Linked DNA regions of Danio rerio. The protein of the gene in region 2 purifies or fractionates together with the protein of the main gene of each other region. This does not show direct contact. Links are inferred from orthologs where the notes say so. Each region holds a gene or a part of one and is shown on either strand. Other genes may lie near its edges.

Region 1 (6,146 bases), on a different chromosome or scaffold from region 2:
AACTCATTGTCATGTTCAAAAACCAGTCAGAGATAATTCACGCTTTATGACAAAGTGTGTTATCCTGCTGGAAGTAGCCATCAGAAGATGGGTGCACTGTGGTCATAAAGGGATGGACATGGTCAGCAACAATACTCGGGTAGGCTGTGGCATTGACACCATGCTCAGTTGGTACTAATAGGCCCAAAGTGTGCCAAGAAAACTTTGCCCACACCATTACACCACCACCAGCCTGAACCATTGATACAAGGCAGGATGGTTCTATGCTTTCATGTTGTTGATGCCAAATTCTGATCCGACCATCTGAATGTTGCAGCAGAAATCGAGACTCATCAGACCAGGCCACATTTTGCCAATCTTCTATTGTCCAATTTTGGTGAGCCTGTGCAAATTGTAGCCTGTTTACTGTTCTTTGCTTCTGCTGCTGCAGCCTATTTGCCTCAAGGTTGGACGTGTTGTGCGTTCAGAGTTGCTCTACTGCATACCTCGGTTGTAACGAGTGGTTATTAGAGTTACTGTTGCCTTTCTATCAGCTCGACTAGTCTGGCCATTCTCTGACCTCTGGCACCAACAAGGCATTTGTTCCCACAGAACTGTTGCTCACTGGATATTTTCTCTTTGTCAGACCATTCTCTAAAAACCCTAGAGATGGTTGTGTGTGAAAATCCTAGTTGACCAGCATTTTCTGAAATACTTAAACCAGCCCATGTGGCACCATGCCACGATCACTCACTGAAATCCCCTTTCTTCCCCATTCTGATGCACTGTTTGAACTGCAGCAGATCATCCAGACCATGTCTACATGCCTAAACGCACTGAGTTGCTGCCATGTGATTGGCTGATGAGCAGACAGACAGGTGTACCTAATAAAGTGGCCAGTGAGTGTACATTACTAGTCAAAAATTTTGGATGCACTTGACCATTTGTTTTTCATTAAAGTAACTTTCTGCAAAGCTAAACTGCAAAATGTCTGTTTTTAATCTGGTTTCGGTGTTAATCATTGTTGGGACTAACAAAAAACTGAATAAATAGATATAAATTTTACATTAAACATTAAGTTAAAATAGTTTCCTGAAAACAGAAGTGCACACTAGTTATAACAAAGTGGACAGATATTATTGGAATCACTTTCAAATCTTTTCATTTCTTTTTCAACCAAAGAAAAATGTGACAGCCAATCAGAATCTAGAATCTTAAAAGCTTGAACGTTTCAAGTAGCAGAAGACAAAACTACAGTGTGCTTTAAATGAGCAGGACAATTAGTGCCGATCCACTTTTTCCCTTAACAGTTTTTTTCATTCATTGGTCTATTTTTTCCTCAAGTCTTGTTAAATCATAACGTTACATTACAATCTTTGATTTGAAGCAAAAAGTATATAAAAATGCAAGACAAAAGGCAAAACTACAATCCCATGATGCACTACAAATAACATTAAAATGAAAAACAATGAAGGAATATAAAAGTATCCATTTAAAGTTGTTGGCTGTATCTGTGGAACCAATATATTTCACTTTATTGTAAACTATGCATACATATAAAAAACGTAAGCATGTTGAGTGTAGAGAAAGTGGCTTGATTACATTATTCACACACAGCGCTTCTGCAACCATCTTACTCAAGGAAATTTATGCACAGCATCATGGGTAATGTAGTTTTGTTGACAATGCAAACAGATGGGTAAACAAAAGCTTTCACAATATCTGAGCTCACAGCAGGCCTGTCTTTAAACGTTTATCAGTTAAAGTTCTGGTACTACTTTATTTTCTTTCCAATAACCAATTAATTCCCCATTATGATAAAAAGTGATAAAGAATAAGCATGTCCACATTGGAATGTTTTTATCCCTCTCCTTTACCTCTTAGTAGCGAGTGATCACTCATGTTCAACGTAAAATCAGTGCAGAAGGATTTAAGTGCCCAAAGTTTAATATTTTCAACACCTCGTTTGCCTAATAATGAGCTTTGTTTAACAAGCACAAAACATCTTTACTCCGTTACAGAAAGCTACTCACTTATCCTTCCAATCCAAGAGATGGAAGACAAGAGCTGTAAACAAAACGACAAACTGAAAATTCACATTTCATGGTTTCCCTCAAACAGAAAATAAAATCTTTAATGGGGGTCTTTACTCGCGAGCCATTATGAGACAACAAATAAGATTGTAATTTATTGGTAGAAAAGGGTCAAGGAAAATAACCATAAAAACCATGACAAGAAAAACCCGGCTGACTTTCACTTTATAAATAAATCACTTTCACTCTTGCATAAGCTAAGTGTTTTAAACGTAACATTTAATGATCGTTGTGCTCACGCACATCCTTCAAATGACTCTCAGCTCCAGGAAGGCTACAGAGCAAATCCTATGACAATGTTTAAACATTGACAATGCATCTCCGCTTATCTGCAATCAGCATAACGCTGCAAATGAAGTTCAGAGTCAAATTTCATATACTTGATTGTTCAGAGGAATAGTTTCACACTTAAAGGTTCAATGCCAATAATGTATTGACTGCGCAGGACCACCTCCTGTCCAATTCACTCCAAAACAACAAGAAAGGAGAGGGAAAAAAGATGCACTCACATTTACAGACACACCGCTCGCACAAATAAGAGGTCCGGGGCTGCAGCAGGTTTTAATGCTCTTATGGAAGGCCAGAGAAATTGCACACATGGCAGTGTCCAACACACACCCTGCCCTGTCATCTCAAAATCTCAGACTCTCGTCTTTAACACGTCGATCAGCAGTAATAAATAAAATTTTATCTTTAGAAGGCTTTGTTGGGCAGGAAGAAACGAATACATCCTCATCACCTCCATTACAGCCTAAAGTTCCTGTGTGTTTCGTCTGCTAACAGACTAGACTCTGACAAGAAGAAATGCTACATCAACAAAAGTTTCCAACAAATAGGGAAGAGAGGGGGGGAAAATAAAGAAGAAAGCAGCATACTGTAAGTCACGTTCATGGTGGGGGAAAAAAAATCTACTCGTCTGAATCAAGGTCTTTGGGAAGACTGACCAGAATCAGCATAATCCCATCGATGTCCATCCTGACTGGACTCATGTCATAACTGTACTGGGATCAGTGTGTTTAAAGGGAGCGTGACAGGGTGTGGTGTGGAAAGCAGCTGGTTTGGTGATGCACAGGGTGTCATGATAGCATAGTTAGAAGTCTTCAGTGCATCGGCCTCTAGGCTGCGTCCTCTTCAGGCTGGTTGTCTTTATAGACCTCTCTGACCAGCAGCGCTCGAGTCAGGAGCCTGCTCAGCACACTCTTCTCCAGAGGCGTCGAGCTGAACCACAGCGGACTATCCGACGACGCAGACACCTCTGGCTTCATGTAAAAAAAATCTGTCCTCTGTCTCACAGACTCTGGGCTGAGGAGAGAGTAAGAGAGAAGCGTCAGACAAATAGTTCAGAAAAACTATTAAAGTTCAGCAAATCTGGCTAAAACCAAAAAGACTATGAAGATATGTCCAAAATGTCCATCTTTGATGTCGAATCTTTTCACCAGCAGCAGTTCTAATCATATTAATAATAATCAAACACTCAGTGATTTTCAAAGGCAACCCCTTGCTAAAAAATGCTGATTTGTTTACAAAATGGTAGCTTCATACGCAGCACTGTGCTCACTGTCATCACCTGTGACTATAGTCAAGATGTTCCCCTGTTATGATGAAATGTCCTACACGCTATGAAATGACACGAGCATCATATATTTTTTAGATTTGGCTGAGATAACACCTGTGTTAGACTGTAAATCTAAGACAGGGGGGTTCTCAATCTCGGTCCTGGTGGGCCGGTGTCCAGCAAAGTTTAGTTACAGACAAACTTGGGCAAGCTAATCAAGCTCTTACAAGGCTTTCTAGAAACATCCTTGTTGTGTTGAGGTGTGTTGAGGCAAGTTGGAGCTAAAATCTGCAGTACACCAGCCCTCCAGGACCAATTTTTAGAACCCCTGCTCTACCAGATTTTAAAACGTTTTAATGAAAACAATAAGGTGTTTAGTGGCTTCTGAACTTCTACGTTAAAAAATAAAAAAATACAAGCTCACTTTTCAAACTTTGTACAAAAAACAAATAATAAAAAAATGTTCATAGTTTTTACAAGGTCCTATGACCCCACCCCTGGTGTGAAAGTTACATGTGGTCAAGGGTATTTCTAATATAATTTAATTTCTGTCATTCAAACTATTACACAAATACCAACAACAGTTTGACAATCTCCATTCTAACAAGCCCACACAATTATTACTGCATGATTTATCCATTCAATTCCACAATAGGCATAAAATATGCATAGGCAGACAACAGGAATAAATAATAATAATAATAGAAAAGCGCACCATCTAGTATAAAAAATATATATTTTAAAGTCTTTCCAACAGAATGAAGACCTGGTAACAAATTTTGCATAATATTAGTTAAATGGCCTTGGGGTTAAAGCTTAACATTTAGTTTTGTACAAAGATTTTCTCTAATAATAATAAACAATAATTTCTTGCATTTATATAACGCTTTTCTGGACACTCAAATTGCTTTACACACTTTTTGGGGGAATCTCCTCATCCACCACCAGTGTGCAGCATCCACCTGGATGACTTGACGACAAGACTTGCGCCAGACTGCACACCAGCTGATTCGTGGAGAGACAGAGTGATGAAGCGAATTATGATATGGGGATGTTTAGGACGCCAGTGGGTTAAACCCCTACTCTTTTTGGAAGGACATCCTGGGATTTTCAATGACCACAATTTTACATCTCATCTGAAAGACAGCACTCACTGAGCAGTGTAGAGTCCCCATCAATTTACTGGGGAATTTGGACCCACACTGCCTCCTACTGGTCTCACTAACACCTCTTCTGGCAGCAACCTAGCTTTCCCATGTGGTCTCCCATCCAGGTACTGCTGACCAGGCTCAGCCCTGCTTAGCTTCAGTGGGCGACCATTTTGAGTTGCAGAGAGCTAGTTGCCGGCTAAAATACATAAATTTTATAAATACATGCACCATTACACCCCTGTAAGACTACTACAGATCAAATTTTAATTTTCCAGTTCACTTAAGACACTCTACCCATTTATCATATTACCTCACTAAGAAAAGAACTGAACAGGCACCACTGCTTGACTACCTCTGCACCAAAGGTCTGCTGTGTCCTCATATTACAAGTGTCAACACCATGTTTCAGGATGTGAACAGCAATTGTTATAATCACTGGACACCACTCAGTTTAAAATAATTTGAACTAGCTGCATTCAAATCAGCAAGAAACTATCACAGTTAAAATAAAAGCTCTTTTTTAATATAAAATAGAAGCACCTCTTCATCTTAATATGTTGTGTAATTGCTCTCATTATGATTCCCACATTAACTTTATTACAGCGGAGTATAATTAAATACACATCATTTATCAGTTAACGTGGGAATGACAGATACATACTAATGTGCTTTCGTGTCACATCTCAGAATGAAGTATAAATGAAGTAGAGGAATGTACACAGGTGCACTCTGGCAATAAGGGGCAGTTGTACTTGTAGAACCACATTTTGGTGCACTTTAAAATGTTTCCCTTAAAAATGAGAACCGAACGTAAAGGGTTACTAAAAGAAAAATACAAATTTACAGAAAATTAAATTAAATACTATTTACAGTTCTGAAAAAGCCCTTAGTTCTTCAAATGCATCACAAATAAGGAAGATTTACGTCACTCACCACTTCGAAAGGTAAAGCTCATACAGTCGGCACTCATGCTTCTTAACAGGACAGTGTGCGGATCCCCCTGAACCGCTGTCTGAATCAAAATTTGAGTCACAGTAATCTTTACGTCTTCTCTTACTTCCTGATTGCTCTGTGAAAAACACGTACAAGACATTTCAGCAAACAGCAACACTGGTAAAACACATTGAACATTTAAATATCTAACAAGTTTGGGACATTTAAAATGCACAAGTAAAGCGAAACTACAATTGAAAAACACACCATGCTGCTCCTGTGAGATGGAGGGGATGCGTATACAGACGGTGGTCTCATGGCTGTGCGGTTTCGAGCTGCTTGGGCCATAGACGTTTGCAAATGAGAGGCGTAAGTGCTGTTCTGGGGTGCGAAGACCAAAGTATTTGGTGTTGAGATAGAATACAGATCTCAGCA
Region 2 (6,942 bases):
TGTGACCCATATGCTGTGACCTGTGCAATAGTTCGCACATGCATGATAGAAGAGAAGGCAGAGAAATAATCAAATGTTGAATTTTATTGGAATTAATGCAAATTTAAGCTTGCATACTTTAAATGATTAGCAACATTATTAATTATAGTGCTATTCTGTTAAACCCAACAGTCGGCTTTATCAAAGGAATCGAGCGTAGTGAACTCCAAATTGACTGAAAGTTAATTCTACTCATTTCAAAAGAGTTTTGAACTCAGTGTAAAAGGTAATAAGTTAATCAAATATCTAATTAAATAAACCTATATGAAGTAAGTTCACAGTACTTATATTGATTCGGTTTTTTTTGTACTTAATGGTTTGTAGCAATCGGTTTCCTCGAATGAATTGAGTCACCTTAACTTTTTGGGTTTTACAGTGTAGGCAGTAGCAGAATTAACTTTATTATTTTGGCTAGGTGCTCTCCTCGACTCTCGCAAAAGATTTTGAGTGAAAATTAGATTTGTGCAGATGAGGAAAATGTTACATTGTGTTAAAGGGCTAGATCACCAAAAATGAAAATATACTCACTATTAATTCTTTTTACCCTCAAGGGGTTATAAATCTTTATGATTTTTTTTCTGTTGAACCCAAGATAAAATATTTTGAAGAAAGCTGAAAACCTATGGGAGTGGTTACAGGCTCTATAACTCTTGATTACAATAAAACTATTTTAAAGTTGTTTACGAACGCCCATTTGTTTGATTGCTATTCATTTAGCTGTCCATAAGGGGGCGTCATAGGCAAGTATTTGTAATTACTGGATTTGGTTTATAAAGCAAAGTTCAGTTTATCTGTAAAATACTTTCCAGTAAGATAACTACATCTTTATATATATTTAAAAAATAATAATAATAATAATAAAAAAAAACTTTTTAAAAAACTTTTTTTGTTTCTCTTGTTTAAAACATTTTAACACAGAAGTTTAGTTTAAAAATACCAATTTGACATATTTTTTTAAAGCCCATGCATAAATGACTTTAATAAAACTGAAATGTTTTTCCATTAAGGCTTAACTGAATGTGAACCACAAGCAGACCTTTCAGAACAAGAGGAAATCATCACAGTTTCAGCAGATAAGAGGTGTGCAGTTCCCATCATGAGATGAATTTATTATTCTCAGAACAATGGCAGAAGAGATTTCTGTTCAGTTTTATCAATGCTTGTGTCGCCAGACAGATGGAGCTGTAGATTCCTAATGATTTTCCTGCTTGGCTATGAAGAAAATACAGTGTGGAGCAAAAAGAAAAGAAAAGAAAAAAAAAACAGGTCTGTGAAATTGTGAAATGTTTGAGGAAAAGGTAAAAAGTTTAAATAATGGATTATATATGTATTATATTATATATATACAGTGCTCAGCATATATGAGTGCATTCCATTTTGAAAATGAATATTTTTGTCAATTTCTCAGTGAATATGGGTAATATATAGCTGCATTTAAACAAAACAGATTTATAAACAGATACATTTATTAAAATAATATTATAGTCAGAGAACATCTTTAGAAATGGAAAGATAATACATTTAAATTTATGCAAAATATTGCAAACAAAAGTAATAATTATAATCTACAACATTTTAACAAAAAAATATATTTTTTTTCTTCTCTAACATACATTTGGGCTACAAATTTTCAATTATTATTGTAAGTTACTTTTTTTTTAGATTAGCTCCAGATTTGGCATTTCAGTACTGACTAAACTAATGTATATGCAGAAATATAATATTATAAAGCATCCTATAGAAAATGTTTATTTAAATTAAAGATTTGTGGGGGGTGTATTCATGTTTGCTAAGCACTGTTTATAAACACACACACACACACACACACACATACACATACACATACACACACACACACACACACACACACACACATATATATATATATATATATATATATATATATATATATATATATATATATATATATATATATATATAAACAGTTTTTAAACACTGATTAACACTGACATAGGAGATATTTTTACAATAAGATATTTAAAGCATAAAACAAAATCTTAATGTTTATCAGTAGTAGAAATTAAATATCTATTATAAACAAATGAACAAATACAGATTGTAAGATTACACTACGATATAAATGTAAGTATTTTTCCACATTTGATATGTTCATATATTAATTTGTTAGGCCTGTAACAATTAGGCCTTAAATAAAATTTTGCAGAAATGTGCAGACACATGGTTTCAGAATATTTAAAACATAAATAGTAACTCCTAGTAATGAACTTTTATTGAACTACAAAACATTAATCTATTTTATAATAATGAGAAAGAAAGAAAGAAAGAAAGAAAGAAAGAAAGAAAGAAAGAAAGAAAGAAAGAAAAAGAAAGAAAGAAAACATTATGTCACGATTACTTGAAACAACCGTAAAGAGCAGAATGACTGACATCCCGATGACGTCAGCGCTCGCAAATGGGCGGAGTCTTGAGAGCCGCAGGTGGGACGTCAAACTGGACGCTGCTTTCACCCGTAGTTTAGCCGTCGATTTTTTTTTCTCATCCTCCGCGAGTGCGTGAGAGGCGCTTCTGGAAGACATGGGGAAGGTTCAGGAATTCGAGATTACTTTCACTAACAACAAAGTGGTCTACAACCCCGGTGAATCCATATCAGGAACTGTGAGAATTAAATCAAGCCACTCCTTGCAGTTTAAAGGTAAGCGATGCTCTGTAGTCGTACATCTTCAGTCTTTTACAGTAGGAACATGATTTCCATTAACTACACAGTTGGTAAGCTCCAGGGTTTCCCCAGTTCACGTATGAACGGTATTGAATCAATGCTTGTCAACATTGTCGTGTCGCTGAATGAACGTGTTGAATGTTTGCATGTTGACATTCGGCATCCGTCGCTTCTGTTTCAGTGCTTGTTCATAAATGTGTATTTTGAGGGATTAAGCAGTGTTATCGGAGGGCATCGACGTCTTCATTCTTGTTTCTTATTAACCTGAGCGTACATCCTGTTTCTCATGTGCTGCTGTTGGTTTCGGTCCGATTGCACAATCACACCCGAGTCGTTTCTGGTTCATGAAACACGCTGTATGTGGTTCGCGTTTCAACAAGTGTGGTTTGATGCCTGTCTTCACTTCGTTTTCTTCTTTAAACGTCCTCAAAATAGTGCACATTCAGAACTAACAGGCAAAAGTATCCAGGACGCGACGCTTGCGCTTAGAAACGCGACGCTCATGAGGTCATTTGCTAAACGCAATTGTACTAAAACATTAGACAAAAATTTAGGGAAAGACTATGTAATAGACCGCTAATAAGCACAAAAATGTACTTCCAAAACGTTAAATGAATTATGTCTTAGTGAACAAAACCCGTTCAAGAAAATAAATGTGTAATGTAAGGCTAAAATGTAAGAACTTGTCATAAATGTTTGTCATAAATGTCTAATTTCACGATTAGAGGGTGGAGTTTTTAAACAAATTTCTGAAGTCCGCAGTTTCTTGTTAAGTTATTTGGTTATTTATCTGGAAAGCTACAACTGAGAAGGTTCTTTTTAGGTTTTTATGTAACAGAGACTGTAAAATAGAAAGAGAACTTCTTATTTAAAGGGAACATTTTATGTTAGAAAAACACTTTGACTAACCAACAGAGAATGTTCTGGAAAACAAAAATGGTCAGATCAACACTTATTCTGAGCAATTTCAGCATGGATGTGATTTGCAATAAAATCTCACAAAATCAATTCACAAAGAAAGTAAACGTAAACAATTTTTTCATTAAGAAAACATGTCGCTTGAACAGAATATCCAGCCTGATCTCACAAAGAAATGTAGCTATTTTAGGTTTTGTCAGTTTAGTGTCTAATTCAAGTTCATTCATAGGAAAATGTACGATTTTAACAAGCGTGGCACCAGACCCCACCCCTAAAACCAATCTTCATTGGGGATAAGCAAATCTTACTAAATTGTTTGAATGACAATTTATGCGAATTAGCCACTAAATCAAAAAGTTACAAATTGCTGTGAGATTGTTTTGGTTTGACATGTTCTAAACAAATAAAATATTGTTTAGTTTGGTTAAGAAATGTTAGTGCATGTTAGTAAAAAAAAACAGCCTTTTGAAATAACAAAATTTGTTCTTATTGATGAATTTATTCATTCATTCATTTTCTTGTCGGCTTAATCCCTTTATTAATCCAGGATCGCTACAGCGTAATGAACCGCCAACTTATCCAGCAAGTTTTAACACACCGGATACTCTTCCAGCCGCAATGCACCCCAGTTTTAATGCACCCCACCCCATAACCAAACCGTCGTTGGGGGATGAGCAAATCATACTAAATTAAAAGGTTACGAATTGCGATATGGAATTGGAATATCGCAAAAGTTCTCATGTCGCCATAATAATTGTCTTTGTCAGCATACATTGATGTACAATTACTTAGTACAAATGAATTCCCTGGTCATCTTTAAACAAAATCTGAACATTTCCTTTTGAATAATATTTGTAATATTTACAAAAAATATTTTTAAGAATTTATAAAATGACATTTAGTTTTTTATAAATAGAAATATTAGTATTTTTTAAATGCCACACTGCACAGCCTCCATTAGTAAAAACTAGCAAAATGTGAATCCCTAAAAAAGGCATAACCTTTCTCATGAGTGTGTATTTGTGCTGTTACGTGTCAAATCAATATTACAGCTTTTTAAACTGATGGATTTTAATGATGTGCTGTCTAAGTCCCTCATATTGTTGTATTATATGAGTTTATCATCATGTTGCAGATAAATATCAATGCAAGTGTATAACTACAGTTACAGACATGCATACACAGACACTTTACTCTAGACTGATTACCATGTCAGTTGTCAAAACATCTAAAAGAAAAGCCATAATTGTGAAGACATCTTAACTTCTGGCAGCCCCAAACCCTCCGCACCCTCCGCTAACCAAATTTTTGCATACCGCTTGTCATTGGGGAAAGAGATAAGAAAGTAGGTTAGACAAGGTGCTTTTTACACAGTGTGAATATGCACAAAGAACGCATTGTAAGAGTTTTCATCGAACTGTTGGGTTTAGTGTAGGCGAGACTTAATAGACAGACATAAGAGATGTTCCAATGAAACAACTCCGTAAGCTCATTTTCCTTTTTGCCGTTCCACTTATTGTTTGTGTTCACACTTGAGACTAATGTGTTGCATGAAATTGTTGTGCATTTTCACTCAACTCAGGAACCCCACCCTTATTTGTGACACACACTGTATGAAAAACCGATAGGCGATCTCCTGTGGTCATGTTTCTGTTTCTCTCAGTTGTTCCTGTCAACAATGAGAAAGCACCTTTTATTGTCCATCAATGTGGATTGGTGCATTGTTTATGTTCTCTCTAGTGTTTATCAGTTGCATGCGTGAAAGATGACATCACCAGATGATGAGGTCATGTGACTGGTGTGATTAGTCATTGTCTGTTGGCACTTTAATTCATTAGGACTTCCTGCCGTTCCCATGTTGGTACTTTAGGAATTGGCTCGGAGCGCCTTCACCTTGAGTCAAATGTGGAAAACCTGCATCTACTTTGGATTTGTGGCATTCCCTCCAGGAGCCATTGTGCATAGGAAAAGTGCTAGTTGGTTTGAAGGGCGTTTTCTTTGCATCCAAATATGCTGCTTCCATATGTTACTTTAGACCCTAAGAGCAGTCGTGTCAGTTTTTTGAGATTTAAAATGAAACTCATAAACTAAAACTTGTTCATGACATGAAAACATGAAAGCTGAATAAATGTGATTTTCATCGATGTATGGCTTGTTAGGATAGGATGATGTTTAGCTAAGATACGACTTTTTGAATAACTGTGAGTTAAACCAACACAATTCTTTAGTTCTTTTGGGGGGGGGGTAACAACTTAAATGTTATATTGTTTTATGGATTTGTATCATTAGGGTTTTAACAGTATTACTTTTTTTATTGATACCACGTTCTACTTTAACGGTTCTCTTATCGGTACTTTTGGTAAAAAAATTATTTAAAAAAATAAACAGAATGAACTAATTAATTTAGTTAACGTTTTTTGGGAGTTAACTGTGTTTTAAATACAGTTTTGGAGCATCCTGCAATGTAAAAAATAAGCTGTTTTTTATAATTTCTTAAGCATAGTTTATTATTAGGCTATTCTTTTGCTATATTTGTAAATGCGGCTGATGTAAAAGCATTTTTAATGTTTAGATTTATTTAGGCTACTGCAGAAAAAATACTGTTTTCAATGTAACCGAATGTGTGTTTATTAAAAGTGCTAATATTATACCAATTTAGGTGATTGACTGCTGGCATAACGATGTGGATGATGTAATGTTCTTGTTAGTAGCTAGCAGTCAAAAACTATTCATTTGTCTTTCTGCAGTTTTGAAAGATACTTCCACTTAGCCAGATTGCTTGCGTTTCCGCTTATACAAGAAAACAACTTGTTACGTTTGTTGCAATGGGCATTGTCGCTGTCCACTCAGGAAATATTACCCATTTGGTTCACTTTGCAAGCGCACAAGCAGTGTGTTATGAAAGTCGCGAGCCATGTGTGTGCATTTAGCGTGAGCCTCTACTGAGTGCACGCACAGCCAAGAACTGTAAAGGCTTTTATATTTGACGCATTCGCCGGAAACACGAGCATTTCTCATGTGAGATTGCCAACTGTGTAGATGAATATCAAATATCGCAAATTAGATAAGGTTGGTCAGTTAAATTATGCACCTGTAATTAATGCTTATTCAGCAATAATTCTCCAGTACATATAGCAGAACCGTTAACGCCAGAGCTTATCGATACTTTGTTCTTTTATAATGCGGCACCGGTACCGATAAAGTACAGTTTCAGTACCCATGCCTAGCTTTATGACAACTGAATTGTTTATTTACTAACTTAATTTTTTTTTTTTTTACAAATTTAA
Region 3 (5,923 bases), on a different chromosome or scaffold from region 2:
TCATGAATAATAAAAAGTGCAGATATGATCAATGAGATTTGTTTCACAGAGTTAGCATTTATAACTATAGATTTGTACGAAACTCATTAAATGGGCCAACATTTGTTTTGTCTGTGCAGAAAGAATAGGAAGTGTTGTTTTTTTAAACACAAAAACATTAGCTGCGTCCCAACTTGCATACTTATGCACTATTCTACGTCATTTTGTAGTATAAATAGTGTAAGTAGTGTGTTCACACTGAAAACTCTAAAAATAATACATGCACTTTAATTACCCGGATGGTGCACTCATTCAGCCGCTAAAACGAAGTGTGTAATGATGGACACTTCACACGCTCAAAGACTGCAGGTTTGCTCAAGTAGCGGAAGGGGCGGAGCTATCGGGCGCACATGTTGAATAACTTTATATATTATGGATTGTGAAAGCAAAATTCTCCTACGAGAGTGATTATAGCGCCTCCCGATGGTGAATGCGGTTATACTCACGGCAGGTATTATTTGATAATTCGGTCGTTTATTTCACTGATTTGGCAACCGTCAAACGTCATCAGGGAAACGGTTTGAATTTCTGCTTAGTAAAAAAACATTAGTGCTCCATTTGAGACGACACTACATACATATACTATCCTGGTGAGTGTGTAAGTGCATAAGTACATAGTGCATGAGTGTATAGTGTGCCATTTGGGACGCAGCTATTATTATATGTGACTCATTCCAGAGTTGTGGGGACATTTCAAGCATTTTCCTTAAACAGGAATGATATATTTGCAGTGAAGTGAATCTGATAATAATGTAAAATAATGCATAATTCTTGAATGTAATAGGCAACATTTGCTTGTTAATTGCAGTTAAACGTTTTAAACCATAAAAGCCATTCTGTGCTTTAGCTCAAGATGCTAACCTTAAAAAAATAGATATTACAGGGCATGCCAAAAACAGGATTTCATGCATTTCCATCATATTATTGTTTTTAAAAATCTGAAATTCGCTGAAATTTCACAATAACAGAATTTACATATATTAAATATACAATTGGTGTATCCTAAACCAGATTTTTTTTTTCTATCAGTGCTTTACAGATCATTGTCATGACTTTTTGTTACAGACAAAATATGTCATTTTTTTAAAACAGTCATAAAATACATAATAATAATGCATGAAACAGATGTTAATGCAATGAAAAAATTACTTTGACTGATTTTTGTGATAATAATTGAAGCTGTTTGTTTGATTCAGGCGGTGGTGACTCAAAATAGGAGAGGCTTTGAGTTATAATAATAAAAACAGCAATAATCTAATAAGAATCCTTATTACTGTCAAGAGCAAGAATCAAGTGTATTCAATCATTTTAATCGTGTTTAATTGAGTTTTGTATAAATATACAATAATACTTATTGCGGCATTGCACTTTGGACAATCACAGTCTTGGCTCACAGGCATTTCCCAAACTCTGTATAGTGCAGCCCTAAAGGAAACGTTCATTTCTGACCCCTCTCTCCTTTCTCAGGTGACACCCTCGGCCCCGGCTCAATGGCAACACAGCCCAGCCGATTCCCCGATTACCTAGACGCCATCCCGGGCACGGACGTGGACCTAGGCACCCTTGAGGGCGAGAGCATGGCGGTGGAGGGCGAGGAGCTGATGCCCAGCCTGCAGGAAGCCCTAAGCTCCGACATCCTCAACGACATGGAGTCAGTGCTGGCAGCTACCAAGATCGACAAGGAGAACTTTCTAACCTGGCTATAGAGAGCCCGAACCCAGCACTACACCTTCTCTTTCATACCGAACTGCTGCCCAATCCAATCTGTGAAGGATCTGTAGATGCTTTGAGTCGACAAAAGACATTTCACCTTTTTGTTTTTGGTTCTCTCTCGTTTTATTCACAACATTTGGCCCAATTGGTTTTAAAAGCCGAACCTTTGGTCCTTTTTTTTATTCTTCTTTTCATGTCTGCATCCTCAAGGCTGGCCCATGAACAGACAAGTATTCACAAGTAGCAGAATCTCTCTCACGGCTGTACTGCACGTCGGCCCATCAGCGTGCGAGTATGTCCATTTTGTGTTTTGTTTTTTGCCTCGCAAAACTCCGACAGAGCCAAGTGGGTTCAAGTGTTTCACAAGCGGGAACGACAAAGACAGACGAATCCTGAATAAATGAAAGTCCCTGATCTCAACTCAAGCTACAATTGACTGTTTTACTTGATGCAGCGATGAGCCTGAGATACCAAACGAACAAAAGCGATGAGGAGGTCATATGTATGTGGGTTCAAATCTTTTTTTAACGCGTGGCTTTGGTTAAACAAATACTGCTGCTTGGCTGTGCCAGCATATCACACTAGATACTGTGTAATCAAGTGCCTTCAGATGAAAAAACAAAAGAAAAAAAAACAGTTTTTACACTCGAGATCATCGATCAAATTCGACGTTTTCTTTTACTTACTCTTCTTCATTAATCAAAGTATATTTCTTTCAAAGGTTTTATAAAAGAATATTATGTTGGGAATTAGGGTTTGATTTTTGTTTTGTTTCTTCTTTGAAGAACCCTAGCCTCCTTGTGTGTTAGTTTTTATTTAAGCCTCATTTTGTTTCTTGAGGGTTTTGGCATTCATTTGTGATCAAAGAACAAGTTTTTGCTCTCATAACCGCTTTCTTTTCTTCTAAGAGCTGCCTTACACTATATGAATAAGAACACTGACTAGAAAAACTAGCATTTCTGCTACGTTGTAACAGTTTGTTACCTATTTTTTATTCTTATTGTACGATTTTAGTATCTTAGTTGATGCTTGCTTGTTTAAGCAAAAATATCGTTCAACTAAAAAGCAAGGAACAAAACTATCAAGGGCACTTTGATCAAAAGACAGACGTCTCTGATATGAGCTCCAGCAGAGTCTGTGCCAGTTACGTTGATGGCGTTTGGCGCCGAGACCGATATCGGGCAGGAAGTGAAAGATTCTGATACGTTTAAAAATGGGTAGACCGAGTATGTTTTGAGGGTTAGTGCTGTAGATTAGCTTGGATCTGATTTGGTATCGATAGAGTAGACTTTCATCAAGTTATCATTTCTGTCAGGATTTCTTCCAAAGATTTCTTCGTGATGAATCTTTTCTCGAAATGGACGACGGGATCATTTATCCTTCTTTGATGTACACGTAAGACATAAGCTAATGAGAAAAGGTCTAACTGATTTGAGGAGGGTTTAATGAAGCAAGATTTGACAGGTCTTCTTTTGCTGGTTCTATGATGTCAGAAGTTTACATTAGTAGAACACTACAGTCTTTCCCGTTCAGAAATACAATATGAATTTTTTTAGTCTTGTTTACAATATGGTTAGCTTTACACTACGTGATTATAGCTTCAGAACTGGCCCGTACACTATATAAATATATATTTTAAAAGGTGAAGTTTTATTGCCTCAGTAGGCAACAATTGTATTGTCAAATATTATGATCGATACCTACAAGCTAGGCCGGAGTAATGGAAAAAAAAAGACAAGCTAAGAGAAGTTTCTATTTTTGCAAACATAGTATTGATGGCAGACTCTAGTGGGCTAAAACAGTGTTGGAGAGAAAGAGAGCAATGCAACAAAAGGTTTTCTGAATTGTGAGGGTATTGCACGTTTCTAGAACATTGACTAAACTGTGTATGTCACTTAAACTTGATTATTTGCTTGCTTAGTTTGCAACCGTTCAGATTATATAGTAACTGTTTACTTTTTGTTTTCTTTCTCTTCGTTTTGTTTTGTTGTAGTGGTAGTACTAATCACACAAGTTAATGGATTGGTATTTAGATTCCTTTAAACGCACCCAGAATGAATTTATATCCATTTATTATGATCTCGTTGTTGCTTTTTTTTAATCAATGTATGTGCATGTACTTTAGAACCTTAAGTTCTGTTACATTATATCTCTTGACATATTACTTTAAAATTGGCCTGGAATAAAGTATATACTTTGGTATTTACTGTCTGATGGTTGTTCATAAACGAGCAGTATTATAGAGTTATTGTAATTTGTGTGTGAGGAACGTCTGTATAAGGTTTGTTATGCAAAAAAATACTTAATTGGACCATTACAACAACTAAAGAACTAATCAATAGATAATCAAAATAGTAATTGTCCCCATATTTCTTTAACCCTTATGTGCTGTTGTTTTCATCGACTCTGAGGTGATATCAAGTCTTAATTTGTCCACAACTTTCTGTTTCAGCAAATGGAACAATTTTTGGTGACTAATCTTATTAAGAGGAAAAAATACTTTGATATTTACAAGAAAAACTAACAATACATTTATTCATTCATTTTCTTTTCAGCTTAGTCCCTTTATTAATCTGAGATCACCACAGTGGAATGAACCGCCAACTTATCCAGCACTTGTGTAACCCTTCCAGCTGCAACCCATCACTGGGAAACACCCATTCACTCTCATTCACACGCATACACTACAGACAATGTAGCTTACCCTATTCACCTATACTACGTCTTTGGATTGTGGGGGAAACTGGAGCACCCAAAGGAAACCCATAGGGATAACATGCAAACTCCACACAGAAATGCCAAATGACCCAGCCGAGGCTTGAACCAGCGGCCTTCTTGCTGTGAGGCAACAGTGCTACCCACTGCACCACCATGTCACCTTCAACAATGCACTCTGGGCAAATTTACTAGCCTTTTGTTATGTTTGTAGCTCTTTTTGCTCCATTGACTTCCATTATAATGACAGTTTTGATTGCAAATCTCTGACACCCTATAATCATGCTTTCTTTAATGTTGCTGGTTTTTCTTGTTAGGAAGAGGTAAATTTACAATTTTTACTCTTGATTATCAGTTGCAGAGCAAAAATAAAGGTTAGTTTCTTGACAAAAATTATATGGTTATATGAATTATAGTTCGTGTGACAGAGTGAGACCATTGGGCACTTCTATATTTTTTGGGGGGAATAAAGCAGCTCAACTCTCAGAAATTAGTAAACATAGTGTATTTAAGCACAGACACATCTGCTGTTTTACTCCATATAAAAAGCAAACGTTTTTGCACAGGCCTATCTTAAGAGTTAATGCTGCCAACTTATCATCAACAGAAATAATGAAAAGTTTGACCTCTTCCCGAAATAGAAAACACCAACAGTCAAGATTGCATGATTATTTGGTGTCATGGCTTTGCAATCAAAAAATGTCATAGGAACATGGAAGTCAAAAACAGCAAAAAGAGCCACGAATAGATAGTCAATTTAAACAGTACACAAAGGTTAAAAGACTTTTAAGTGTGCATGTTTTACATATTGAGTCAATCGTTAAAATATGGGGCTCTATCATACAACCGGCGCAAGGCACGACGCAGGTGTCATTTTAACGTTTTGCACCACGTTGTTTTAATAGCAAATGCATTTGCACTCATAAGTGCGCCCATAGGTGTTCTGTTCTAAAAAAGGAGGCATGTTAAGGCGCATTGCTGACGCGTTGTTATTTTGAGAAACTAAAATAGTCTATTCAATAGCCTCGCTTAGAGGAGGTCTAAAATCCAGCACAGAGCGTGTTAGTTGTGCGCCTCGCTTACACATTGCCTAATACACGCATTATGTAGAGAAATGCGCAAATATCTTTACAAATGAAAATGAATTAAAGGATTAAAACATTACAAAAATTATTTCTTTCTAGCCTACATAAATATAAGAAAAACAGCCTTCATGCCATCATCGTTATCATTACTAGCAGTATTATTTATTATATCCATATTTATATTTGTTTTATTAAAAACAAGCTTAGATTAAAACCTGTCAGGTTTTAGACCATATGGGGCACAGTATATGTATTTTGGAAATAACTCAGTTTTTTGACCACACTTCGTTATTATTGTTCATTTATTCATTTGCTGGAAATTAGAACTGAATTTAGAAATAGTTTTGAAACAAATGTTTGCGCTTAATAAA
Region 4 (6,233 bases), on a different chromosome or scaffold from region 2:
TCAAAAGGAAAAACAAGATTATTTTGCTTACCCCATTGGCAGATTATTTTGCTTGTTTTAATGAAAAAATCACTTAATATTGGCATATTATTTCTTAAAACAAGACTATGTTTTATTTACCTAGAAATGCTTCTTGATATAAGAATTTTTAGATATTTCGAATAGAAACAAGACAAAAAATCAAAGTAAGAAAAGCATTTTTGCAATGTATCTATCAGCTGATAATGCCCATTCAATCGAGTGACAACATTTGAATCAGCTGGCAAATGTCAACATCTTTTACAGATGTGGTTGAGTATTATTGATTTAGTACAAATCATAGTGTTGTAGTAACTAAAACACTTAACATGTAATTGAATAATTACATACAATTATTACATAACAAATTTAGAAATGTTGGCAGCTAACTGAAATAATCTAACTTTATTTTTTTTTATAAAACTGGTTTCACCACACACATGTTCTCTTTGCATTGATGTTAAGTCAAAATGTATAATAATTTGGACTAATGTCTAGTGTGTTACAATTTATTTAAAAAATAACATATTTTCTTGATAATATTAATTAACAATTTACATTAAATAACATAAAGATTAAATAACATAAGGATTAAATAATGAGTTGCTCAGCATACTTTCTCATAAAAAGTCAAAAATATCTGATATAATGATTTGACAGCACCACATGGTTTTCATCTTTTTAATTTACTCAATATATCAAACATCAGAAATGAAAAGTTATGTAAGTAGAAACAAAAATGACAGTCGGATGGATTGACAGACAGACAGGCAGGCAGGCAGGCAGACAGATAGACTGATAGACAGATAGATAGATAGATAGATAGATAGATAGATAGATAGATAGATAGATAGATAGATAGATAGATAGATAGATAGATAGACAGACAGACAGACAGACAGACAGACAGACAGACAGACAGACAGACAATGATAGATAGATAGATAGATAGATAGAAAGAAAGAAAGAAAGAAAGAAAGAAAGAAAGAAAGAAAGAAAGAAAGAAAGAAAGAAAGAAAGAAAGAAAGAAAGAAAGAAAGAAAGAAAGAAAGAAAGAAAGAAAGAAGGTAATCTGTCTTTGTGAACTTGGTCTTCACAGGAGGCCGAGCAGGGGGCAGAGGCAGCCATTGACCCAGGGGGAGAAGATCTCTCAGACGATCCACCTACCACTTACGAGGTTGCAGAGACTGCTGAAGAAACACATCTAACTAATGAGCCGGAGAGAGAGGCTCCAAAACCAGAGCCCCCCACCAACGAGGAAGAGGAATGTGAAGATGTGACTGAGGATACCATGTCCAGAAGATGGAGCCTGGAGGCCACAGCAGGAGTGTCACAGGAGGATGAAGATGAGTTGATACCATCCGGAGATGGGGAATCTGTGGACTCTGAGACTTTTGTTACGGAGACAGAGTCAGAATTAGGTATTCACACAGCCATTTATGTGTTAATCAAGTAGATTATGAAAATACACCCTGATGTATTGTATCTAAATGTTTTGCAGGCGTTCCTCAGGTAAACGGAGATCAGCGTGTTAATTCTCTGCCATCTGTAAGACAAGACATCCACCGATACCAGCGTGTGGACGAGCCCTTACCTCCCAGTGAGTGTGTGTATGTGTTTCTGTAAGTCTGCATGCGCTTCAGTGTGGTTTAAGGTGTCCTCAGTAATATTGGCACCTCTGGAAAATATAAGCAAAAAGGCTAGTTTAACATAAAAAATAAAAAAAAACAGTATGTTTCAGTTTATTATTAGATGTGAGAGTAGCTTACCTTTTTCTTAAAACCCTTTCGAAACCTTTTGTACTTTTTGACAGTTTCATTTGTGAATTTTGGAGATTTTTTTACCAGGCTTAGTCACAACACAACATCAAATTTGACTATTACTGCTGTTGTAAACGAGTCTGCAAGAGCCTACTGGAGTCTCTCACAGGTCTGCAGTTCGCAAGTTTTATCGCAAGTCTAAAATGAGTCTATGTTATGTTTTTAGGAGGAGGGGGTGGCTAGGTGGAGATAGCTAACAAAAGCATGTAAATAAAGTATTGGAGTCAAACAGCATTTTCCCAGCCCTTATCTAATCATCATATATAGTAGCATGCAGTGATCAAATAACGTATTGGAAAGTATCACCCAAAGACTAAGGCACCGTCTTTAAGACGCCACCCATAGCATTTGCATCACCTTGGCTGAGCCCGTGCTCAGAAATACAAAGGTTTAACGTCCCTCATAGCTGGGCTGTTACAGTTTCGAATGAAATTAAAAACCAAAGAATATAACTTTTCAGTTACATGTAGATTATTGTTTATTTGAAACTAAATCATAGAAATGTATATTTCTACACTGCCCTGAAGGTGGAAACTGGCATTTCAGTGTTTTTGCTATTTTAAAAGCCACTTCTCGTGTTGTGAATCTCAACAAATCTCTGTGAGTGATTTTGTATTATTGATTTTTGTATTATTTATTATTTATATATATTTCTATTATTTATAGTTGGGCCTTGGTGAGTTTTTTTTTTGTGTTTTACCCAAAAGTAATAAAAATGTAAAGTATTATCAGAACATGCAAAAGATAAATAAATGATTAATTATGTGAGTGTGTGTGTGTGTGTGTGTGTGTGTTGAAATTTGGTGCCAATAATTGCGGCACACAAACTGTGCTGTATTTGCAATTTGTTGTTCTCCATGAGGTGACTCGGTGGCACAGTGGGTAGCGCTGTCCCCTTACAGCAAGGTTGCTGGTTCGAGCCTTGGCTTGGTCACTTGGCATTTCTGTGTGGATGTTCTCCCTGTGTTTACGTGGGTTTTATCCGGGTGCTCTCGTTTCCCCCACAAGACCAAAGACATGCACTATAGGTGAATTGGGTAAGCTGAATTGTTCATTGTGTATGTGTGTGAATGAGAGTGTATGGATGTTTCCCAGAAGGGTTGAAGCTGGAAGGGCATCTGCTGCATAAAACATATGCTGGATAAGTTGGTGATTCATTTCACTCTGGCGTCTCGAGATTATCAAAGGGACTAAGCCGAAAAGTAAATGAATATATGAAGGAATGTTCTCAATGAGAGCAAAGGTTTAAAAAAAAAACAACAACAAACCTTTCACAGTCTTCTTTGGTCATATTTACCAAGGGTGCCAAATGTGCATGTTCACTTTGCCTGTGTGTTTGCTTGTAAAGCCAATTTTGCCAAAAAAATATCAGGGCTAATCAGGCACTGTCATGCTCTCATTCTCATTTGCTCCCTCTTTTTCCTCAGACTGGGAGGCTCGTATTGACAGTCATGGTCGTATCTTCTTTGTGGATCACGTGAATCGCACCACCACATGGCAGAGACCCACTGGCCCTCCGGCTCCACAGGGTCTGACCCGCTCCAGCTCCATTCTGCAGATGGAACAACTCAACCGCAGGTTAGAACAATACTGGACTGGTTTAAAATGTTACTGAGCTGAAAATCTCATTTTACACAGTAAAGGACACACCAGCAAGCTTAATCTTCTCCTAATGTTACTCTAAGGTTACTTTCTCATTTTCCAATGATTTCAAGGGCAATGCAAAAATGAAAATTTATGAAGAAATGAATGAAAAGAATTCTGGAAAATCTGTTAAATCTTGTAATTTCAATAGAAATTCTGTCAGAAAATAATCCTGATTTATTGTTTGGAACACTATTAGGACTGAACAATAGACAATGGTGACAATGGAGCTTTCGTTTCAGTAAATATGTGTGTGTGAAAAGATCTACTGCCAGCATAGACATGTAAAACTCACAGCTTAGCAAAAAGCACTTTCCAATCAAGCCGGTAACTGTTTGCTACTACTGATTTTGTGTGAACCTAACAACTTTTCACTTTTACACCAAACTCCCAAATACAGGGAATTTTACTGGAATTTTATCTGCGAAATGTCAGAGAACAATATGGTTAGAAGGTTTTGGATCTGGTTTTCCCGGCAGTCTCAGACACCTGTGCTTTTTTCTTCAAGTGACGTCACTTCACCACCTGCACTCTCTGCCAAAAATACTTTTTTTCCAGCCCTCCTTCTGCATTTCTATGGGGATAAGATGTTTTAAAGATTTTGTATTTGATAAAAGCAAAAGTATTTTAGTATCATAATGGACAGTACTCAGGAAGACACATGTCAACATCCAACCAAACTGGCACTGCAACATTTTGAAATACCGAAAAGTGCTTAGCATAACTTTTTATGTAATATGACAATTGAACCATTTATAAACTATAAAAAGTATAAATCATATGTACAAACTAGCATGTCTGCACATGCAGATTTAACTGCATAATTTATCATGAAGCATTTACGTCCTATAACAAACCAATGTAAGGAAAATGCTAAAATTAAATGCTTAAATAAAATGTGCTATACAGGCATACATGATGTGTCCAAAGTATGAACACACAGTTTCACATTAATCATTGTCCTCACACAGAAAACTGTTTAATTGGCTTGATGCAGTTTTGCATTTTCAAACTAGCAGATGTGGCTAGATTATTAATGCACTACACTAAAATGCATGTTGATGCTTTTGTGGATATACTGTACATTACAAATCTAACAGCAAAATAAAATGTAAAAATGTAAGCATTAAAACTTGTCTCCATTAGCAATGCAAACAGACTGCTGTTTTTATGTGCCGTCTCAGGTGTCTGAGAGTGTAAGTGCAGGTCTGCACTCAGACTATATTGGAATGTGATTGCAGTTTAAGTAAACTATAGGTGGGAAAAAAGCCATCATATCCTTCAGCTTGGAAATGACAATGAATTTGGGCAGTGTAGATGCAATACTCTGTGAAAATATTCATAAAAAGATTCATTCAATTCCTTAGGCTTAATTCCTTATTTATCTCGGGTCCCCATAGGAAAACGAACCGCAGAAAATGAAAGATTTATGTTGTAACATTTTCATTATAGAAATATGGACATTTTTGTTATAAAAGAAGCTGAAATCTGGGTAAATTAATGAAGACTTTGTTACATGAACAATTGCTGTGATTTCTCTCTGGCAGGTATCAGAGTATTCGCAGGACAATGACCAGTGAAAGGTCTGAGGAACCCAGAGTTGAAGATCCTCCAGCTGATGAAACAGACGTGCTGGCTCAGTCCATCAGTGGTAAGCCATCCAACTACAGATGATGGTGTTTTGGGAAGTGAGTAGTTTTGTACAGTCTGTGTTTATTGATGTCTGCTCTTGTCTAGAATACCGGAGGGATGGCATTATTGGTCAGGCCAGCTCACGCTCTCGTCTGGCTCTTCTGCTTCAGTCTCCTGGTGCAAAGTTCCTGTCCAGTCCAGACTTCTTCTCTGTTCTGCATTCTAATCCTGTAAGCCAAAGCACTCAGAGACACAAACACCAGAGCACACCTGAAACAAGACCATGTTTAGACCCTCACATTAGGATGTGGTTTTGTCAATGAGCCTCATTACACCCGGTCACTTCATGCATTTTCTCTAATTGGATTGCTCACTGATATGCAGTGGTGTAAAGTAACTAATTACAAATACCTAAATTACTGTAATTGAGTAGTTTTTCTCAGAAATTGTAATTTACGAAGTAGTTTTAAAAATGTGTACTTTTACTTTTCCTTGAGTACATTTTAGTGCAATATCTGTACTTTTACTCTCACTACTTTCCTTCAACCTGCAGTTACTATTTATTTTTTCTTGTTTATGGGGATTAGAAAAATCAGTCCAGTAATTCATGTCCAATCATATCACACACAGAAGGTAAATTGCATCATAATGAACTACTTAAGACATGTGCACTTTACACTGAAGCAAACTGTTTGGAAGCATTAAGTGTCCAAGATGTTCAAAATCTTTACACGCATTGACCCAGAGACTGTTTAGATCAGGGATACCCAAACACAGGCTGTTTCTCAATTCCAATAATGCAGAGAACGGACTTGCGTTCTTGTGAAACCGGTCTTGCCAGGTGTCCTCGAAAGAACAAACTTAGAAGAGCATGAGGGCAGAGAACGCGTCCTTTGAGAAATGAGATGCTTCATTCTTCCTGGTGGTCACATGACCTTCACGCGTTTTAAATGGTAAATTATTAAAACATGACAGCATTCATACAACGATTTATTGTTTTTCCCCTTTTCAAAATATATACTTTGCATAAAAACATTATAAATATACGTCGCACAATATAAATAAAACAGATTTTAATACGAATTTCAGCAAACAAACACCCTTAATGTGTTTAATCCT
Region 5 (6,730 bases), about 3.8 Mb from region 2:
GTATCTTTAAACCGCTTAACAGCTAGTTGTAATGAATTCACAGCATGGTGGTTCCCAAATTCCAGTGCTGATGAGTTCATATTTATTAGGTTCTGAACAAGAAGGAGATGTCACGGTGGCGCAGTGGGTAGCACAATCGCCTCACAGCAGGAAGGTCGCTGGTTTGAGCCCCGGCTGGGTTAGTTGGCATTTCTGTTTGGAGTGTGCATGTTCTTTCAGTGTTCGTGTTGGGTTTTCTCCAGGTGCTCCAGTTTCCCCAAGACGTGGCATAGGTGTATTGAATAAGCTAAATTGGCCGTAGTGTATGAGTGTCCAAGAGTGTTTCCCAGTGATGGGTTGCGGCTAGAAGGGCATCCGGTGAGTAAAACATATGCTGGATAAGTTTGTGGTTCATTCCGCTGTGGTGACCCCTGATTTTTAAAAGGGCTAAGCCGAAAAGAAAATGAATAAATGAATGAAGAAAATGGATTAAAAAAATGAACCAGGAAAAGATTTGACTTTTTATCATATCATATAACGTTAAAATCTTAAATTGTTTATTTGTTTTGGGGTTTTTATTGTATATTTATCAATGTAATGTTTTTTTGCAATGGAAATGGATATTGTTGCCAACATGGCATTAAATAAAACAAATATAATTTGCACAATTCTTCAAAGCAGTTTTTGTAGATTGCATTTATCTGAAAATTGCCGCCATGGAGAAACTCAACCACTCCAGAGACGTGTGGGTGAGCGAATGTGCTTTTTGAAAACCCAGCCAGGTCAAATCACCAGTTTGCCTTTATTCAATCCAATGTTTATACTATTTAGGTTATTAATGGTTTGGTTTTTAAGAAATGCATGCAAAATAAATGCTTTGGAAAGTCGTTGTTTTTGTAGGTTGCGCTGTGGAAGCCCTCTGTCGTAATTCCCAGAATGCTTGGCACTGTGAAACTAATGCTTACGGCATGATGTCTCCGTTCTTTGTCCGCAGCTCACCCACTGCAGGGCTTGTGTGCCCTCCAAAACAATGCCCCCTTTAGAAAGCGCCCACACTCTCACAATCAAGGCCTTTCTTTCAGTCGCAGTCTGTCTCGCTCACTCCATCCAATAAGATGCTGCACTGACTTCATGGTTTAGGGTAGGCTGGTGTTGCTGAAAAGACACAGTTCTAATGGTGTTGATGTGTACAAGAAGACTTATTTTATCATCTAATAGCTGAAAATCATATAAAAAGTCAGAATATCCACCTAAAATGTTCATTAAATTGTTTAACACTCATTGTCTAATTTAAATTGCATGGATGTTGTTGTTGGCTTTTATACATGCAGTATTTCATACTCCTTTGAATTAAGTTGCCTTTGCCCTCTATTTCTCCTTTGACAAATCAGGGTGTATGAAGTGTCTCATCGAATTTGAATACAGACAGTGTTGTATGCTCTCTCTGGATTTTAACATTGGCTTTAGCAAGTTGCTCAGGCTGTCAGCAGTCTGTGTCAAATGTGGTATTCTCATACCTGTGAGCAAAGGGTTTTAGATACTGATAAAAAGATTCTGATTTGGCAGATTGTGTTTGTGATAAAAAAAAATAAACACATGGGTTTTATTCAGCCCACACAGACTTTGTGAACAATGTATTATTTGCAGTAATAGCTGTATGTTATTAGTCTGATTTCCTGTCACTTTAAGGATTTCCCCCAATGAATAATTCGAGGTGGTTTTTAACCTGCACAAAGTTAAATTGCTTTGTTGACTTAGTTTAGGAGTGGTCTTGATTGTAGATTTTTTTTTCTTCAACTGCTCTCAAGACTTTGCCCCGGGCTGCATCCTGAATCATTGTTATTGTGTTGAAAGAGAGTGACTGTCTTGTGGTCTAAAACTTCCCTTAAGTGTTTTTCTTTAATGCAGACGGAACATTTCAGCCATGCCAACCCTTAAGAAGCTTGAGAAATATTGCATGTCTGTACAGAGGCCCCAACATAAAAAGCTGCAATGTTTTTCCAGCTTTTCCTGGATATTTCCTGCTAGAGAATGTCTGTAACGATAGTGGTAGACCTCTAATACCTCTTCTGTTTACCCATATATGTCTGATTGATGAAGTTCTTCGTGCTTTGATTTGTGTTTTATATGTATATAAGTATATAGGAATAAGTAAGACTAAATTCTTACTTTACCAGTTTGAGATGTGCACAGCACCTTGTCCCAACTTGGCTTGGCCCAGTGTGCCCTGTGTGTGGGATGAGCACGAAGAATTATGAGCTTGTGGAGAGTGTTTTCTGAGTCAGCTGTGATCCCTCTCTTTCTCATCCCACCCCAGGCGGTCTAGGTCCTTCTGACAGATCAGTAGCAGCTGAGAGAGTGCTGTTTGGGTCTATCCGAGAAGTGGGGGTGGGTGCCTACTGGATCACATGACTTCGGCCACCCTACCCTCACCTTTGCTTTCAAGAGCACCAGGCGTCCTTATCCAATCATGCCTGGAATGTAGCTTGCCACTTGGGCTATTTCTGCTGTTTGTCGCTATCAGACTGCAGCTTGAACAGTTTGACACATGGGGTAGTTTCTTTTTTTTTTTTTGATTTTCCTATCCCTGGTTCTTTCTAGCTTTTTCTTGCGCTCTCTCTCCTCTCTCTCTAAAGCTTGTGGGTTGAACTTTTAAGCTCCCTGGCAGAGCTTCACTGGTAGCTGTGAAACGAAACGCAGCCTCTGTCTGTGAGTAAGGGAAAGAGAGAGAAAGAGGGTGGATGAGCAAGACAGAGAGAGCAAGAGCAAAAGGGGAACAGACACACTAAACAGTGGGTGAGACAGATCCAGCAAAGGCTGGACAGAGACAGATCAGGGCGGACAGGAGAATGTCTCACCGGCTTCGGTTGTATTTTGGATCTGGTCGCAGTAACACTGCTCCAGAGTTGGAAGAGCTGAATGGGACAGTGGAGGAGGAAGGTGACATAAGCTACAACAGTACAGGAGCCATGGTGGTCCATGCACAACCACGTAACGGAGGACATGCAGAAAGTCCAGAACCAGGCACAGTTGTTGGTTCGGATGCCTCTCTAAAGCGAAGCTCTTCCATGTTCATCCCACAGCTCCAGGGTCAAGCTGAGTCACGGACAACCAAGAGCACCTCTGTTCAAATATCTCTTCAACGCACAACTGCCCCTCATGAAGATGCATTACCCTTTGATCCACCTCCAGCGTACCCCCAGGATCCAGCTCCACCATACACTGAACCTGGTGAAAGTTTGCCCTTACCTCCACCTCCAACCTACTACAAATCCTGCCAAAATGTGGAACAAACTCAAAAAGATACTGAACCTAAGAGGCAAGTCTTTTGTGTCCGGCCATGTGATGGTCAAAATGGTTATACCCATGGAAATCCTCAAGGGATCACTATTGGAGGTGTCTGTATTAGAAGAAGATCTGCAGATGGCTCGGATGTCCAGCAGTTCAGGATTATGCCATATAGCGAGGATGGGCACAATGGGCACAATTGGTCTGTCCAGCAATGCTCAGACAGAGGTCCTGGTGCACAAAGACTAATTTTTCAGCTCCAAAAGGACCAAGGACGGCAACCAAGCTCTACCTCTCAGCCTGACGTGAGTGATTTAGGCATCACAGGTTCTAAAGGTTCCCGCTTGGTGCGGTACCCCAGGATTCGACTTGAGCGGAGCACGTCACAGCCATTGCAGCCTAGAGGAGCTCCTTCACGCCTTGGATCAATGCCAAACCTTCATGCTCCTATCTCAGAAATGGAAACGGAGAGTGATTTTATTGAGAATGGTGCTCAAGGTTGCACTTTCAAAATTAGGAAGGAACAGAATTCCCAACAACCGAAGTTTAAGATTTATTTCAGCCAGGGCGGCGAGCACAGTCCCATCCTCGAAAGGAATATTAGCATTGGAAAGGCGCCTACCTGCAGCAATCCACAGGTACTGCTGAGTGTCTAAAGTTAAGTAATATTTAATCTGACCGTGAAGTGCATAGTTTTATTAACAAGCAGTTATTTAGTTGCTCAAACTATGCTGTAGGGTGTAGAAAGCTTTAAGTGTGTTTTAATAATTTGTAAGTGGCTGGAGAATAGGAAAAGCATATGAAAAAAATAGGTAGCTGGATTTTCAGTAGAAAGAGGAGGTGGGTTCAGAAATGACTTATTCACAACCCACATTCTGGGAAGTGAAAATTCCATGAAAATAGGGGCCAGGAGCAAGACGTAACCGCACTGTCTATGGTTTCCTAACAAGCATACAAACCCTTAAACTCAAGAAGTGGAAATGTATGGGGACTGGAAGCATTTTCAGACTGAACTTCATTCATAGTGGCCACTTGTCTTTTTCCCCCTCTCTTGAAGAGGAGCCTGTTCTATCTTTAGTCCCGTGTCAAGTGTTGTTGTTGGTTTTGAAAGCAGCCTTTCTCCTTTGGACTGGGTTACCGTTCATCTCTTGTGACAGCTGTTCTGTGGTGATTAAGGTCTAATATATGGTTACACATGCTGCTGTTCTTGGTATCTCAAAGCTTTTAATTTCCCAACCCTTAAGTGGTTCCAAACTTTTATGAATTTCTTTCATCAGAACTTTCTGATTTCTATTTCTTTCTAAACTATTCCTTTAAGCACTTATTTTTTCCTCATATATTTGCCACTTTTTGTCACTCCCTAGAAGTTGAGTTTTTTTACAGGCTTTGAAACTCCTTTCAGTGACTCAGAGTAGTGCTGAAAATCTGTAAGTGTGTGGGATTTGTCAATTTGTCACCAGTTGTTACTAGTACTAGAACTAGTATCTATCCTTTACAGAAGTTTAGGTTTGCGTTCGAAAGTTCTGGAATCTCTAAGACGTCCACATTTTAGAATATTCCAATGTCGAAATCAGCACTGTCACACGCATACCTTCAGCTTCTGTGGCAGCATATGTATTTCCAGTACCTGCTGAAAAGGCTTTACTGGAAATGAGTCAGTCAAGAAGCTAAATGTTCCAGCAGCAGAGTTCATCAACTGAAGTGAACCGCTCTCGCGCAGATCTGTTTACTTCATGCTGTCATGACTGCTCTTATGAACGCCTCAAGCAAGTCTTTGTTGATGCTGGATTATCTCTGAGGATAAGTCTTGTAATACATCATAACCTGTGGAGTTCTTGTTTACAAACAATACAGAATACAATACACTTCTGTTAATATTTGATTTTAACAAGATGATTAGCAGAAAACAATAGCTTTCACATAACCATATCACATTTCGGAGATCGTCCATTGCATCCATCCCCTTGTGGGAAGCATGGATTTCCAGTAGACTTGCCAGTGCTCTCAGATTAAAGGGGCACATTTTTTTTTTTGGAAATAGGCTCATTTTACAAGTCTCTTTGACATAAACAGTTGAGCTTTACCATGTTTGAGTTATTCGGCAATCTCCAGGTCTGGCAGGAGCGCTTTTAGCTTTGCTTAAAGATGTTGTTTCTAGGTTGATATAGCTGGGAAATACACTACCTGAAAATTGTTCTCAATCCCAGTTGTAAGAGTAAAGAATAATAACTTGTCTTCTAGTTGATCATTTGGAAAATTGGTAACAGTTATATTTTTTCAACACATAAACTGCAGAACACTTATTGGAACCTGGAAGGGCCCAAGATTCTTATAGAAATCCATCAAGTTTGGTGTAGGAAAAATCATGGTTTGGGGTTACATTCAGTATGGGGGCGTGCAAGAGCTGCAGAGTGGATGGCAACATTAAATGGCTGTGGTATCAAGACATTTGTGGCAAATTCTTTAGCAGGATAGCACTCCGTCTCATGCTTCAGCCTCCACATCGAAGTTCCTGAAAGCAAAGAAGGTCAAGGGGCTCCAGGATTGGCCAGCCAAGTCATCAGACATGAACATTGAGCATGTGTAGGGTAACATGGAGATGAATCCATAGAATCTTGGTAAACTCTGGGAGTCCTGCAGGAACACTTTCCTAGCCATTCCAGATGACTTTATTAGTAAGTTATTTGAGCCATTGCAAAGATGCATGGATGCAGTTGTCCCAGCTCATGGGAGCCATACACTATATTAATTCTTTTTCCACTGCACCATAACTTTATATTCTATACTGTACATTATTTCTGTTCAGTGAAAAGACTTTTGTCTAAGCAAAGTCAGACCTTACTGTCCTAATTAAATAATTAAACATCAAAGCATGATTTAATTTTGGTAAAATAAGCATAATCTAGCGGACTTTGCCTTTCATATAAGCCACTTATAAAATTAATGATCAACTCGAAGTAAAGTTATTATTTGTTGTTCCTAAAACTTATAATTCAATTGCAATGTAATAATCAAGGAACTTTGGTGCAGTATATCATAGCTGCTTGCAAAATTTGCCTTTATCCCCTAGCACACATGTAACTAAAGAAGAGAAACTCTACGAATTTTTAGGCACAATGCAAACAATCTTTTAGATTCAAAGATATATGCTAAGCTAAGCTTAAAGTGCTCCTGCCAGAACTGGAGATCAGCTGAATAGAATTAAAAATTGAACTGTTCCAAACAGTCTCACGGGTTTTAGTAAGCATGATGAGGGGATGTGGGGGCAAATCTTGCTCAAGTCTGCTGTGGCAGCTTTCTTCCAGAACTCAGGATTTAGTGGTTTAAAAAAAAACCTGTGCTAACAAGTAAGAAAAGAACAGTGAGAGAGTTTGAAATTGAGGATACATGAAAGAGTCAAGCTATGTCAGCATTTCCAATTGCTGTGGTACCTTGTTATTGTTGTCGGACTGGAGCACTGCAC

What was found.
Region 1: the proteins of arrdc1b (region 2) and zmym2 purify together in Homo sapiens (affinity purification with mass spectrometry; 3 studies listed by BioGRID and IntAct, counting the BioPlex papers as one, with this or other methods). This does not show direct contact. The link is inferred for Danio rerio from reciprocal best matches to the Homo sapiens genes ARRDC1 and ZMYM2.
Region 3: the proteins of arrdc1b (region 2) and yap1 purify together in Homo sapiens (affinity purification with mass spectrometry; 3 studies listed by BioGRID and IntAct, counting the BioPlex papers as one, with this or other methods). This does not show direct contact. The link is inferred for Danio rerio from reciprocal best matches to the Homo sapiens genes ARRDC1 and YAP1.
Region 4: the proteins of arrdc1b (region 2) and hecw2a purify together in Homo sapiens (affinity purification with mass spectrometry; 3 studies listed by BioGRID and IntAct, counting the BioPlex papers as one, with this or other methods). This does not show direct contact. The link is inferred for Danio rerio from reciprocal best matches to the Homo sapiens genes ARRDC1 and HECW2.
Region 5: the proteins of arrdc1b (region 2) and nedd4l purify together in Homo sapiens (affinity purification with mass spectrometry; 3 studies listed by BioGRID and IntAct, counting the BioPlex papers as one, with this or other methods). This does not show direct contact. The link is inferred for Danio rerio from reciprocal best matches to the Homo sapiens genes ARRDC1 and NEDD4L.

Annotation. Positions count from the first base shown.
Region 1 is NC_133184.1:23,043,427-23,049,572, forward strand, and holds the end of zmym2 (zinc finger MYM-type protein 2), read right to left. Parts: coding exon 5,979-6,146; intron 5,848-5,978; coding exon 5,712-5,847; intron 3,375-5,711; coding exon 3,188-3,374; 3' UTR 2,155-3,187; downstream 1-2,154. UniProt on the Homo sapiens protein: Involved in the negative regulation of transcription.
Region 2 is NC_133196.1:16,162,979-16,169,920, reverse strand, and holds the start of arrdc1b (arrestin domain-containing protein 1b), read left to right. Parts: upstream 1-2,516; 5' UTR 2,517-2,595; coding exon 2,596-2,713; intron 2,714-6,942. UniProt on the Homo sapiens protein: Functions as an adapter recruiting ubiquitin-protein ligases to their specific substrates. Through an ubiquitination-dependent mechanism plays for instance a role in the incorporation of SLC11A2 into extracellular vesicles.
Region 3 is NC_133193.1:40,205,599-40,211,521, reverse strand, and holds the end of yap1 (transcriptional coactivator YAP1), read left to right. Parts: intron 1-1,506; coding exon 1,507-1,745; 3' UTR 1,746-3,954; downstream 3,955-5,923. UniProt on the Homo sapiens protein: Transcriptional regulator with dual roles as a coactivator and corepressor. Critical downstream regulatory target in the Hippo signaling pathway, crucial for organ size control and tumor suppression by restricting proliferation and promoting apoptosis.
Region 4 is NC_133184.1:25,790,176-25,796,408, forward strand, and holds part of hecw2a (E3 ubiquitin-protein ligase HECW2), read left to right. Parts: intron 1-1,117; coding exon 1,118-1,439; intron 1,440-1,519; coding exon 1,520-1,618; intron 1,619-3,265; coding exon 3,266-3,416; intron 3,417-5,029; coding exon 5,030-5,133; intron 5,134-5,219; coding exon 5,220-5,344; intron 5,345-6,233. UniProt on the Homo sapiens protein: E3 ubiquitin-protein ligase that mediates ubiquitination of TP73. Acts to stabilize TP73 and enhance activation of transcription by TP73. Involved in the regulation of mitotic metaphase/anaphase transition.
Region 5 is NC_133196.1:12,331,203-12,337,932, reverse strand, and holds the start of nedd4l (E3 ubiquitin-protein ligase NEDD4-like), read left to right. Parts: upstream 1-2,508; 5' UTR 2,509-2,828; coding exon 2,829-3,905; intron 3,906-6,730. UniProt on the Homo sapiens protein: E3 ubiquitin-protein ligase that mediates the polyubiquitination of lysine and cysteine residues on target proteins and is thereby implicated in the regulation of various signaling pathways including autophagy, innate immunity or DNA repair.